3 linked regions of the Daphnia pulex genome follow. The main gene of each other region encodes a partner of the protein of the gene in region 2 in a complex. Links are inferred from orthologs where the notes say so. Each region holds a gene or a part of one and is shown on either strand. Other genes may lie near its edges. The genes, in order: PCI domain-containing protein 2-like, nuclear pore complex protein Nup214-like and nuclear pore complex protein Nup85-like.

Region 1 (3,429 bases), on a different chromosome or scaffold from region 2:
ATGTTATTTGTCCCCACACTGCAACGGCAGTCTCCTACTGTTTCAACGTAGATCAGAGGTGAGTATTTATTTTTGTTCTCTCCCCATGTACTTGATCCGGTTTAATGAGTTTCTTCCGGTCACCTTTATTGGTTTGTAGGGGAAAACAGGTATTCGTTTGTCTAGCTACGGCATCACCGGCGAAATTCCCCGAGGCCTGTGAAGCGGCAGGATTGGACAAGTCGACACACCATAGAGTGGAGAGATTAAAAATGGATACCGAAATTTGTACACCCCGACACGTCTTCCTAAAGGGCCACGATTGGACAAGTCAATTAAAAGATATCATCCTTAAGATTTAGGGGGAAAAAACCGTTGAATATCGTCACAAACAAATTTGAATATTTACCTGAGATTCACTCAGTTTTGGTGTAGAATAGCGTAGTCAGGTGAAACCTAACACAAATATGTAAGACTTTGAAACAAGAAAACAGCTAAAACTATTACTTAATACAAAAATAGGAAGCAAGAAACAATTCGTTCAATAAGAAATTTATTATTTTGTTTCAATTAGTCGCGAAAACAGGTGTGTGTAAGAGATATTAGATCCAACTTATACGATAGCAGCCAGCGATGGGAACGCATTCTGCTTGCTGATTACCAGCTTGTTGTGGCTGTTGGAAATGTACCCTTTGATTTTGTTCTCAAAGATGAGGTTTGCAATGATACCTGCGTTATAAAAAGAAATGGATCAAATTCTATAAAAGCCACATTAATTTATGTAACACTATACATTGCGTCTCGTCCAAGTCTATGTCTTCAACTCCCATGAATTTTAAGGCCTCAAGATAGGCTTCGATCGGGATTTGATGAGTTTTCATGAGCAAAGTTCTGAAAATTATAAATTCAAAAGAAATCATGTCGGCTCATCTTTCAACACCAACAATAAAATCCCTTACACTTTCTTAAACAAGTTTCTGTAGGTGGTGACTTTTAACTTTTCAAGAATCAAATAAACACCGCAGCGAATGAAAAAGGCATCGTGTTGAAGAAGGGCATTGTTGAGTCTCCGGAGATTACCCTCCCTAACAGCTTGCACCACTTCGCTAAACTGTAGAAGGTCATACTTTCTCAGCAATTGGGTTGTAGGAAGATGACCCTTTAAATGAAATGTAATACGTTAAGCATCTTCCTTCCGTTTTCCATCGCATTATGTGTACACAACAAATGAAAGTCATACCAAAAGCATTTTGACGGGAATCAGGTAGATTAAAATCAGTCGTTTGTTGGCGCGGCAGTTCTTGTGACACCGCTCAAACGCGTAGGATAAATATTTCTCAGCTAAATGCGAAATTAAATATAAGAATTGATTATCTTTTAGAAATTTATGTTACTCTGCTCACCGCTTTTGAAATCACTTTCGAAAATGGCCTTTCTGCCGACATAGTATCGGTAAGTCACTTGTTGGCTGAGGGAGAACTGGTCCTTGAACTGGGAGGCATCAATTGCGCGAATAAGAGCCTTACAAAGATGCAATTTGTTTATTCTAAAGTAGATTTTCAACAGCTGGTTGACCAAATACAGCATTCCCCAGCGTTTTGTATCTTCATCAGATGACCGACTGTAAATTCAAACAAAAGAATGAGTACCTAGTTACTACATAAGTCGCAAAATGTTATTTCTTACTTGTCAGCAGCACACACTCTAAAAAGTCCCATGAGGCACTCTGCAGCCTTTTCAAGTGTTTGTCCTGGTTTGTCTGCTCCTTTTTTGGCCAATTCTTTGTCTGCTTTGATTGCAAACATACGCAAATCTAAACTTATGACATACATGATGAATAAAGCCCAGTTGTCTTCCTTCTGTGTCTGAAAGAGCTTTGTAAACGCCTGTACCAAAGCACTTTGCTCAGAGTATGCTTCTAAATACTTTTGCTGGTTGATATAGCTTAAGCATCTAGATGGTAAAATTGAAAGTTGAAACCAAAATTTAAAATTGATGAAAGTTCAACTGTATACCTGAGATGAAGGACAACAATCTCATCAAAAGGAGCTTCCACGATTCTTTCAACAGACTTTTCAAATCCCTCCAAAATAAGTTTGGAGCTCATAACATGTGGGTGATTGAATGACAGGAGTTCCTAAAGGTTTCAAAATAAGAAGACGTGAAGTATTGCATGAGCATGATTTTACAAGAAATTTAATTTTGAATTTCTTACTGAAACTTCAGTTCCACTTCGAGATTGCCATGAAGATTGAATCTAAAATAGTTTAAATAAAAACAATCAACTAAAGATGTGTAAACAATGCATTCTGTTTGTGACGCGCTGTGTTACCTCACGTAAATATTGATTCAAATTCAAGTTAGCCATTTTTTTAGTGTCTTAGAAATGATTTTTCGAGACTAACTTAAAACTGGACATCGGTGGCTTACAGAAATCTAATTTTGGCGAAACACAATTGGATATTATTTGACAGAAAATTTCAATAATCACGCCGACCGGTCGCTTTCGAATTGTTCCTCAGCTCTTCGTCTGCTAGAAACTCTTACGTCATCTAGCGGTAACAAGTTGAATTACATATTTACAATTTCAAATTTTACGCCGCGCTTGTTATCAAAGTTTTTCGATCTCGAAAGGGAGGAAAAACCACAAAGTAAAATAAGAATTATATTATTTTACGACTGAACATGCCGCAACATAAACATAAATAGAATGAGTTGAGAAAGAACTGGTTCCATATCATGCATATCCAACAACTGAGATAATGCATGTGATTTAATCCAACAAAACAATTGACGCAGGACTGTACTGTATAAATGTATAAAACATTGAGTCGGGATTCCAATAACATATAAATTGCACAGAGGAGTTCCAAGTAAAAAAAAAAAAAACAAGGATCAACTACCTCCTGGACAGACTAATTAAAAAGCGTGGCGCCAGTCTAAGATGATTTCATACCTCACTAAGAAGTATGAAGAGAGAGAGTGAACAAACATGTCAAAATGGCTTAAAACTCTTGAGTACATAGATTAGCCGCTCAGCGGGCAGTCCACACACACTGCAGTGTGTGTGTATATAGGCGGGTTTACGCTAAACCCTGTAAAAAAAGATACAGCAGCATCAGCAGCGAATGGTCAATAATAATCAGCTCTACTTTAAGAGTGGACCGAACCACTCGTGTTTCCATTCTCTCCCCCCTCTTTTTCTACTTCCGATCTATTCTTATTTCGGCCTCCCCTGACTACTAGTTTTTCTTTTGTATCATTCGCTTTTAGTCGACAACGAGCCCCAGTGGCCCTATTTTGACAGTCAATTAAATATAGTGCATCACGTGTGCAAATAGTAGGAGGGAAACTTCGTTTCCATACGTTCGCACACGGATTTTCAAAGGTCCAATTTAAATATTTCCCTTCTAGATTTTCGGCTGGATAATTTCCGTATTGCTCCAACAT
Region 2 (3,754 bases):
GGCGTGGGTTCAAATCCCACTTCTGACAATCATTATTACAAGGAAATATTTTTGGATGGCACGACGGAGAAACAAGCTGCATACAAACCAGCTTCCTACCCTAGCCCAGCCTATCCTTTCGTACTCCTCATACAAACCTCTGCATACAAGCCCGCATCCATATCTCCGGCTTATCCGAACTACCAAGTAAATATCATATCCTGGCTTCTTGCTATAATTGATACAAATAAAGAAATAAAAGTTTTAAATAAACGATTAGTCAGAGTTTACTAGCAGTAATCTTTTTTCTCCCTGCGTCGCTTAAAAATGAATTTATGCGCTACGGCCGTATGGCGTCGCTGTGTCGCTGTTTCTGAATCTGATCAAATTAAACCAATAATTGTTTATTTGAATAGAAAATTTAAAAAAAAATAATTCCATCTTTTGCGGACTGATAAAGAAAAGGGATCGAGATGAATGAACTACACACAGGTTGGGATGAGGAAGTGAGTCGGATCTAAAGTTTGTCCTAGTTGGATATTCTTTGTCTAATTATGCTAGACTAAGGTTACATGAATTATCATCCAATTGAATCTCTTGAAAAATAATAATGTCCAATCGAGCCAGATTTGAGCAGACCGACCAGAATGTGTAGCCTAATAGATAAGGTGCCAGTTTATCTTACTTATAGATGTTAAGTTATTTAGAAGTTAAGTTAAGTTAATTTTGTTTGTTAATTAGTTCAAAGAGAGACTATTTGCCGTATAAAGAGACCGTGCACCACGATCAGATTTATCGTATATTATATAGTCCCTATTTGTAAATTTATTCCTCGAATATGATTCGTTTGATCGAATGTTTATTGTTTAATCGTTTTGAACAGGGTTTTCAATGAACCAAGTTGATGAAAATATTGTATCTTGCAATTTGGTTGACGTATCACGTAAGCCTTCCCTTTTGAATATCTTAACTCCACTATAGCCCCAAAAGTGATCAGAATTGGAAACACTACCCCTCAGCCCCTACCCTTTCAAAAAAAAGAACCGCGAGTTATTACAATTTAAAAAAATTCAAATTGCTTTGATAGATGGCGTTCACTTGTCACAAGCAGACAGGCAGTGAGGCACTCAAACAGTTAGACATTTCATAAAATTTCGACCGGCTTTGGCTTTGCAACAAAATAAGGTTGAAAGTGCGGTGTGATTTTCTATCCGAATATTACATTGATTATTGAAACTGATAATGGCAAACGTTCCTGATCCTGTTGAAGTCTTGGTAATTTTAAAATACATTTTTTTATTGTTTTCTTTCAATTCAACCAATCTAACTTGTAACAACAGGACTTCAAAATGAAACAGCTGTGTAAGTTTAGAGTCACTAAAAAGGAATATGATGTACAGGACACCACATCATTGCTGGCTACTTCTAATTTGTTTGGTCTGATCTTTGTTGGGACACCTGACAAACTTGTTGTCATCAAAGTTTCAGATCTTATACAAATTGACAATACAACATCAAAAAAATCAGAAATATCATCATTTCCCATCAAGGAAATTCTTTTACCCAACAAACCTAGTTTTGTAACACTGAGCTCTGATAATCTTACCTTAATGGTGTGCCTTCAAAAATCTGGATGCTCAGTAGGTTGGATGTATGATGTTCGTGGATTTGCAAGACAGGTATGATTTAAGGAATTTCATTTTGTGTGATTGAAACAGATTTAAAATCTTTTTCAGTCAGGTGAATGGAATCCCTTCCAGGAAGTCAGGCTTTCGTCTACTGATGGAGTTACTGTGAAAGATTGTGCGTGGAACCCTGTTATACCAACTCTAGTAGCTGTCTGTCTTAGTGATGGCTCTTTAGTTGCAGTGGAGATCAACAACACTCAATTCACTATAAATAGCCTTCCATCAAGTACAGGAGCCCAGTATGTGAATATCCTATTTTGTATGTATGTTATTTTCTTAATTTTATTGAATTATTAGGTCAGTCTGTTGGAGTCCCAAAGGAAAACAGCTAGTTGTGGCCAGGCCTAGTAAACTAGTTCAGTATAAGCCTGATTTAAAGGAAGCCAAGACTATAGCGTTTAGTGGTAGCGATGTCCATATGACTCAGCCAATGGTTTGTGGACTTCAGTGGCTTTCTACAACTCAGTTCCTTGTAACGTTTGTTGATCAAAATGAACCCAATTCTCGTCCCCACCTCTACATAGTCAACGTACAAAAATCGGGGGCAACAACTTTCATAGATTATGACGATGTTTGCTACGGAAGTCCGTCTGAAAGACCACACAGGTATACGAATTTTTTTCATTTTATTATCAATATAATGAATTTTGTTTCTTTTTTAGTTATCTAACATTGAGTTTATCCCCATGGAATGTGTTATTGGCTTGTTCAGCTAACGCAATAGAAGTTGCCGTACTAGCTCAAACAGGAGCTGGAGATGCTGATCACCCTGAATGGAGGCAATGGGCACTAGAAGGTGAATGGCGAGCTGAACTACCATTAAATGAGAATGCTGAGACTAACCCGTTGGGAATGGCCATCGATACCACTAGCCAAATTCCAATCAGTTGGGATGACAATCAAACTTTACCGCCCGCACCCATTCTTTTCATACTCAGCACTCATGGTCTGCTTTGCCCGTTTCATGTTATCAATCTAAAGAACGGTGCTGCCAAATTCAATCAGGCTCCTCAAGAATTGTCGGTCACTGGTGAGAGACCAGCGCTTAGTGGAATTGGTCTCAAGGCGGCTCCATTAGCAGCTTCCACTCCATTACCTGCTGCTGGTAAAATTGCATTTCCTAGAACAAATCTTGGAGAACGATTTGCTGCATTTGCGGATGCTCCTTCCTTAGCAGTCCCAGTTACAACGAAATTACCTTCAAATCCGCCTATTTCGGACTCGTTTTTGGGCAACAAACCCCAACTTCAACCTGCCTTACCTTCAGTGACGAAAGTTGCAACTGCACCTGTTGTACCAGCTGTGAAGATAGAAGCGGTTCCGGTTGTCCCGAAAGCTACTCCACTTACTGTCAAACTTACAAGTCAAACTCCAATCGCAGATGAATCTAACATCCATTCATCCATGGGCGCTGCCGCTGCAATATTACGTGACGAAGTGGCCAAATTCGTTCAAGACTTGAAGGAATTCAAAGCTCGTTCGTTGACTTTGAAAGTTACGATCGCGAGTGATGAGGAGAAAGAACGATTGTTAAAGATGACATCCGATCTGGCTGAGTTTGGTGTGGATCTGGTCGATACTACCAAAGTGCAAGACGAAGAAGTTCGAGGCTTGTGCACTGATTTGGTAGAAGTTGCCGCCCTTTTGGAAGATGCCCGTGTTCGACGTGCTCGTCGCAAAAATTCTCATTTCTGTCATTTGCTCAAGTTACGGCCTCTAGATCCAGGCAATCGCAGAAAAATGGACGGCATTGAGCGCTTGCACGTTCACATAGAACAGCAGCTTATAGAAGCTTCACGAAGCCTAGATTCGATTAGCAGAGACCGTACTAGAGACACCCGCAAAATTGAAATCCCAATAACTCAGGTAAGCTTGTTTTATTATTATTATTACTCTAAAATATTCAGCATCCTATGATTTATTTCATCTCAGGTTATTTATGAAGCAATTAGAAACAATACGAAAGTAATATCACAGTTAAAATCTCGTGTTGAACGAATTATGGTTCAGAGCAAAGAACAGCAACTGAAACTCGCCGGTGCAGCCTTCGAAGCTTTAAGGTATTTGCCATTCATAAATTCACTTAA
Region 3 (3,754 bases), on a different chromosome or scaffold from region 2:
TAGACTTTGCATTAATTCGTAAGTTTGTTCTGAAGTGAAAACTGGCGGATTTGTTTCTAATAATGGTAGTGCGTCCATGAGCAAAACGGTCCAAAAGCTGAAAACGAAATTTCAATAATTATTAGGCAGCTGCAATTATGATAACATGGTTAGTGGTTAGGCTACTTACTATTTCGGTGCAATCCGTGATGAGATTAAAGAGATCAAAAGGCCAGCTGCTGAATGAAAATCGTTTGAATTGTAAAGACGATGAAACTCGCGATATTTCCCAAGGAAAGCCAATCGATCGCTGGCAAGAAGTCCAGCACCCAGTGAGTCTAGCAAGTCCGTCGAAGTAAAATCTGAATCTTGAAGGTAACTCTTCAGAACAGCATCGGCGGCATAGGTAGCAAGAGGAGCGTCTTGCGCCTTAACAGCCCAAGCGACTGCCGCACCAAGTCGTCCATTGGCCAAGGCCCGTCGACCCATTACACGACAGACGGAAGTTACCACTGATGTTAGTTTTCTTCGCTCGGCAAGTGAAATTATTTTGGTTGCCTTCATTTCCGACTGGCACGGAAGTCGAGTGAGCAAGTGTTCCAGAGTCGCAGAACCAACATTAGGGCAATGGTCAAGATAGAGAACACCAACCGACCACAAGGATTGGTGGCTAAATAAGCAAATCGAGTAGTCACGAAGCAAAGTTTCTCTCAGCTGTAGTGAGTTAATGTCTTCGAACGACTGAAGTGCTCCGGCGTGATACAATAAATCAGCGAGATGTGCCGTAAACCAAGAATTATCCAATACTCCTTGCATTTCTCCAATCACCTGTGACAACAAATTTGAACAGATATAAAACGTTTCCAGTTAATTATGTTGGTAGTGTCTTGATACTTGCATGAACTCTTATCAAACTTGCTTAAAACTCTTATCCATTGATAACAGCGATACTCACTTTACGCGTGTCGCGACGAAGAACGGCCAAAAGTGTTGCATCTAGTGACGTCAAATCATCTAATCCGATTAAGGAAGCAAAAAACTGTTCGGCTTCATCTCCCAAAGATAACGTTCCAATTGTGGGTTGCGTGAACGTTAACTGAGTAATCATTCGTTGATACCAAGTTTCGAAATGATCGCCAACTTTTTCAAATGCTTCTTCTTTGCCACATAGTATCTTTATCGTAAGTAAATAGAAAGTTTATGTAAGTTAGACAAAAGACATACAACATAAACTAATGAAAATAAAAATGGGAATTAAGAGATCATTATATATAAAACATTATATACCTCCATTAGAAGTTCTAAATCTTTTGATTCGAAGAAATCTCCAGCTTGAGTGCGAGCCTCACATTCTTCTTTCCAATGATTCCATCTGAAGGTAAACTCTGGAGCAGAAACAGTTGAGTTGGCCTAAATAGAACAGAAATACTTAGGAGATAGAAAAATTGTTAATCTATCTAAATTACAAGAACTTTCTTACACTAAAGACTGGCATTTTCTTCAGCAACTCATATGCACTCTGAAAAGCTTCACTCTGGAAATCAGGATGAATTCTTAACAGTTTGGTAGCACTTTCTAAGCGTAACTGAAACACTAGTCCATAGAGAGCTTTCCAATAGCTTTCATGGAGTCCAGGATTTGGTGATGCTAAAACTGTACCAGTTTCTTCTACTGCATTTGGAAAATGAATACGAATCCATTCTAATAGGTGTGGCAGAATTCCAAGTGGGTTCTCAAGATACAGAATTTCACACAAATTCCACACCAACTCAGCTTTGTAAAATATTTCACTCATTTCTTGAAGTGCTTGATTAGATTCAACACTGTTAGCAAGATCTGCTGCTTGGTTCAAATCTTCAATGCATGCATTCATTATACAACGATACTGATGACTGGATTTAATTAACTCAGATGAGCTGATTTGGCCATCTGTGCCAGCCTTAATTTGTAAAGAAGTAAATGCTCCACAGGATTCATTGACCAGCTTGCGAACAAAAGGATTGTACAAGGTTCGCTCCCAAGAAATTGTATAAAGCTTCTTCTTACAAGTCTGGGGACTAACTGGACCTGTCATTGAGAAAAACTTAGTAGGAGTTTTTTGGCTAACTTCCAGAAAGAACTTACCAGAGGTGATCGACTTGGAAAATTCTGTTGGAAATACAGCCAAGCTGTTACCATAACCCCAAGAATGCCCAACATCTTTGTTGTATGCAAATAGAGGATCTTGTATTCCCTAAAACAAAGAAAGTTTGGTTACAAATATGTATACCATGAACAATTCGAAATTATTATTACAATAGGTTCAAGCATTCTGTAAAATGCGTGAAAATCACGTCACAAATCGTAATTGTGTGTAGGATTCAGAAGGATTTCAACTAACAGTCAGAACTCGTAACGAGTACTTTTTTGAAATATTTCTAATCTGTCGTCTGCTGCTTCGGTTTTACACCATACTGCAATGGCCATGGTTACGGCGGTAACTATGACCTGTGCTGCCGAATGTCGATAGCGGAAATTTCAATTTTCGTGGCTGCTTGTTTGTTGACAAAATATCATAGTCTACTTGATCTTATTAGGTGATGTTATATTGCTGTTTCATTAATACTTTCAAGTTGTTTATCGCTTTTCACCTGAAGAATTTATTTGATCCATATTAAAATATCCGTTTCAACAAAGTTTTTGCTATGAACATTGCCGTTTGTTCAGTAAGACAGTTTTGTTCGTCTTCAACATGCTTTAAAAAAGTGCCCGATCGGCTAAAGGGCCGCAGTAAAAGTTCTCAAGAATGGCTAACTCGGCAAATGAATGACGAGTATGTTCTTAAAGCCAAAATGGAAAATTATAGGTAGTAATTTTCAAATAAAAATTATGATTTCAATATTTTCAATTAACAGGCTATAGCTTCAGTTTAATTGTTGTCTAATATTTACTACTTCTTATTAACCAAGAAAGAGCTAGAAGTGCCTTTAAATTGATTGAAATTGATGACAAACACAAATTCCTTAAACCTGGAGATGTGGTTGTAGAATGTGGCGCTGCACCTGGTGCTTGGACACAAGTATGTGTAAAACGAATTAATGCAACAGGAAAAGGTAGATTGAATTGTTTAACTATTTAGCCTAATTAAAATGACACTAGAATGTTTATGGATTTCATGCAGTGTCTTCTCAGCTTAAAGGAAAGCATGTAGCAGTTGATCTTCAACCAATGTAAAAGGGCTGCAAAGTTTTGGTACCCTTAGTTCACTAACATTATTCAATTTTATTCTTTCAGGTACCCAATTGAAGGAGCTGTAATCTTGGCTCCATTAGATTTCACAAAAAGTTTGTCCCAGACCAGAATAACAGAAATACTTGGTGGGCAACTTGCTAATGCAGTCCTAAGTGATATGGTAGGGCTGATTTTATTTCAGTTTTTTTTTACCTTAAATTATTTCAATTAATATTTGCTAATTAAATTTAGGCTCCTGCAGCATCGGGTATACGAGATTTGGATCAAGATAGGATATTAGAATTAGCATATTCAGTGCTGCGTTACGCGCAACAAATCTCTATGGACGGAGCTACGCTATTGATAAAATTATGGGCAGGAGGAAGAATCAAACAACTGGAGAATGAGATTGCATTACACTATTCTCAAGTCAAAGTTGTGAAACCACCTAGTAGTAGACAGGATTCAGCTGAAATGTTTATACTAGCTAGTAATTTCAAGAAAAATACATAGTAATTATTTAACTACTTACTTTGCTTTATTCACATTGAAGTCTACTGAAATT

What was found.
Region 1: nuclear pore complex protein Nup214-like (region 2) and PCI domain-containing protein 2-like share a complex: the UniProt entries of both Drosophila melanogaster proteins name them as parts of the nuclear pore complex. The link is inferred for Daphnia pulex from reciprocal best matches to the Drosophila melanogaster genes Nup214 and PCID2.
Region 3: nuclear pore complex protein Nup214-like (region 2) and nuclear pore complex protein Nup85-like share a complex: the UniProt entries of both Drosophila melanogaster proteins name them as parts of the nuclear pore complex. The link is inferred for Daphnia pulex from reciprocal best matches to the Drosophila melanogaster genes Nup214 and Nup75.

What each region holds. Positions count from the first base shown.
Region 1 is NC_060025.1:7,986,144-7,989,572, reverse strand, and holds PCI domain-containing protein 2-like, read right to left. Parts: upstream 2,522-3,429; 5' UTR 2,348-2,521; coding exon 2,312-2,347; intron 2,237-2,311; coding exon 2,195-2,236; intron 2,117-2,194; coding exon 1,995-2,116; intron 1,933-1,994; coding exon 1,666-1,932; intron 1,601-1,665; coding exon 1,383-1,600; intron 1,321-1,382; coding exon 1,220-1,320; intron 1,139-1,219; coding exon 939-1,138; intron 871-938; coding exon 773-870; intron 709-772; coding exon 593-708; 3' UTR 516-592; downstream 1-515. Other genes in the region: threonine synthase-like 2, read left to right, coding at 1-58, 140-341; b(0,+)-type amino acid transporter 1-like, read left to right, coding at 3,428-3,429. UniProt on the Drosophila melanogaster protein: Required for the export of nuclear mRNAs and involved in mRNA trafficking in the cytoplasm.
Region 2 is NC_060027.1:5,448,613-5,452,366, reverse strand, and holds the start of nuclear pore complex protein Nup214-like, read left to right. Parts: upstream 1-1,069; 5' UTR 1,070-1,221; coding exon 1,222-1,254; intron 1,255-1,319; coding exon 1,320-1,658; intron 1,659-1,715; coding exon 1,716-1,906; intron 1,907-1,964; coding exon 1,965-2,273; intron 2,274-2,329; coding exon 2,330-3,533; intron 3,534-3,599; coding exon 3,600-3,727; intron 3,728-3,754. UniProt on the Drosophila melanogaster protein: Part of the nuclear pore complex. Serves as a docking site in the receptor-mediated import of substrates across the nuclear pore complex including emb, RanGAP and phosphorylated Mad. Protects mbo/Nup88 from proteasomal degradation at the nuclear pore.
Region 3 is NC_060023.1:4,665,857-4,669,610, reverse strand, and holds the start of nuclear pore complex protein Nup85-like, read right to left. Parts: upstream 2,432-3,754; 5' UTR 2,290-2,431; coding exon 2,275-2,289; intron 2,213-2,274; coding exon 2,104-2,212; intron 2,047-2,103; coding exon 1,460-2,046; intron 1,390-1,459; coding exon 1,267-1,389; intron 1,154-1,266; coding exon 935-1,153; intron 808-934; coding exon 170-807; intron 98-169; coding exon 1-97. Other genes in the region: rRNA methyltransferase 2, mitochondrial-like, read left to right, coding at 2,664-2,824, 2,932-3,071, 3,140-3,188, 3,253-3,370, 3,442-3,702. UniProt on the Drosophila melanogaster protein: Component of the nuclear pore complex (NPC) that seems to be required for NPC assembly and maintenance. Required for nuclear import of phosphorylated Mad via importin msk.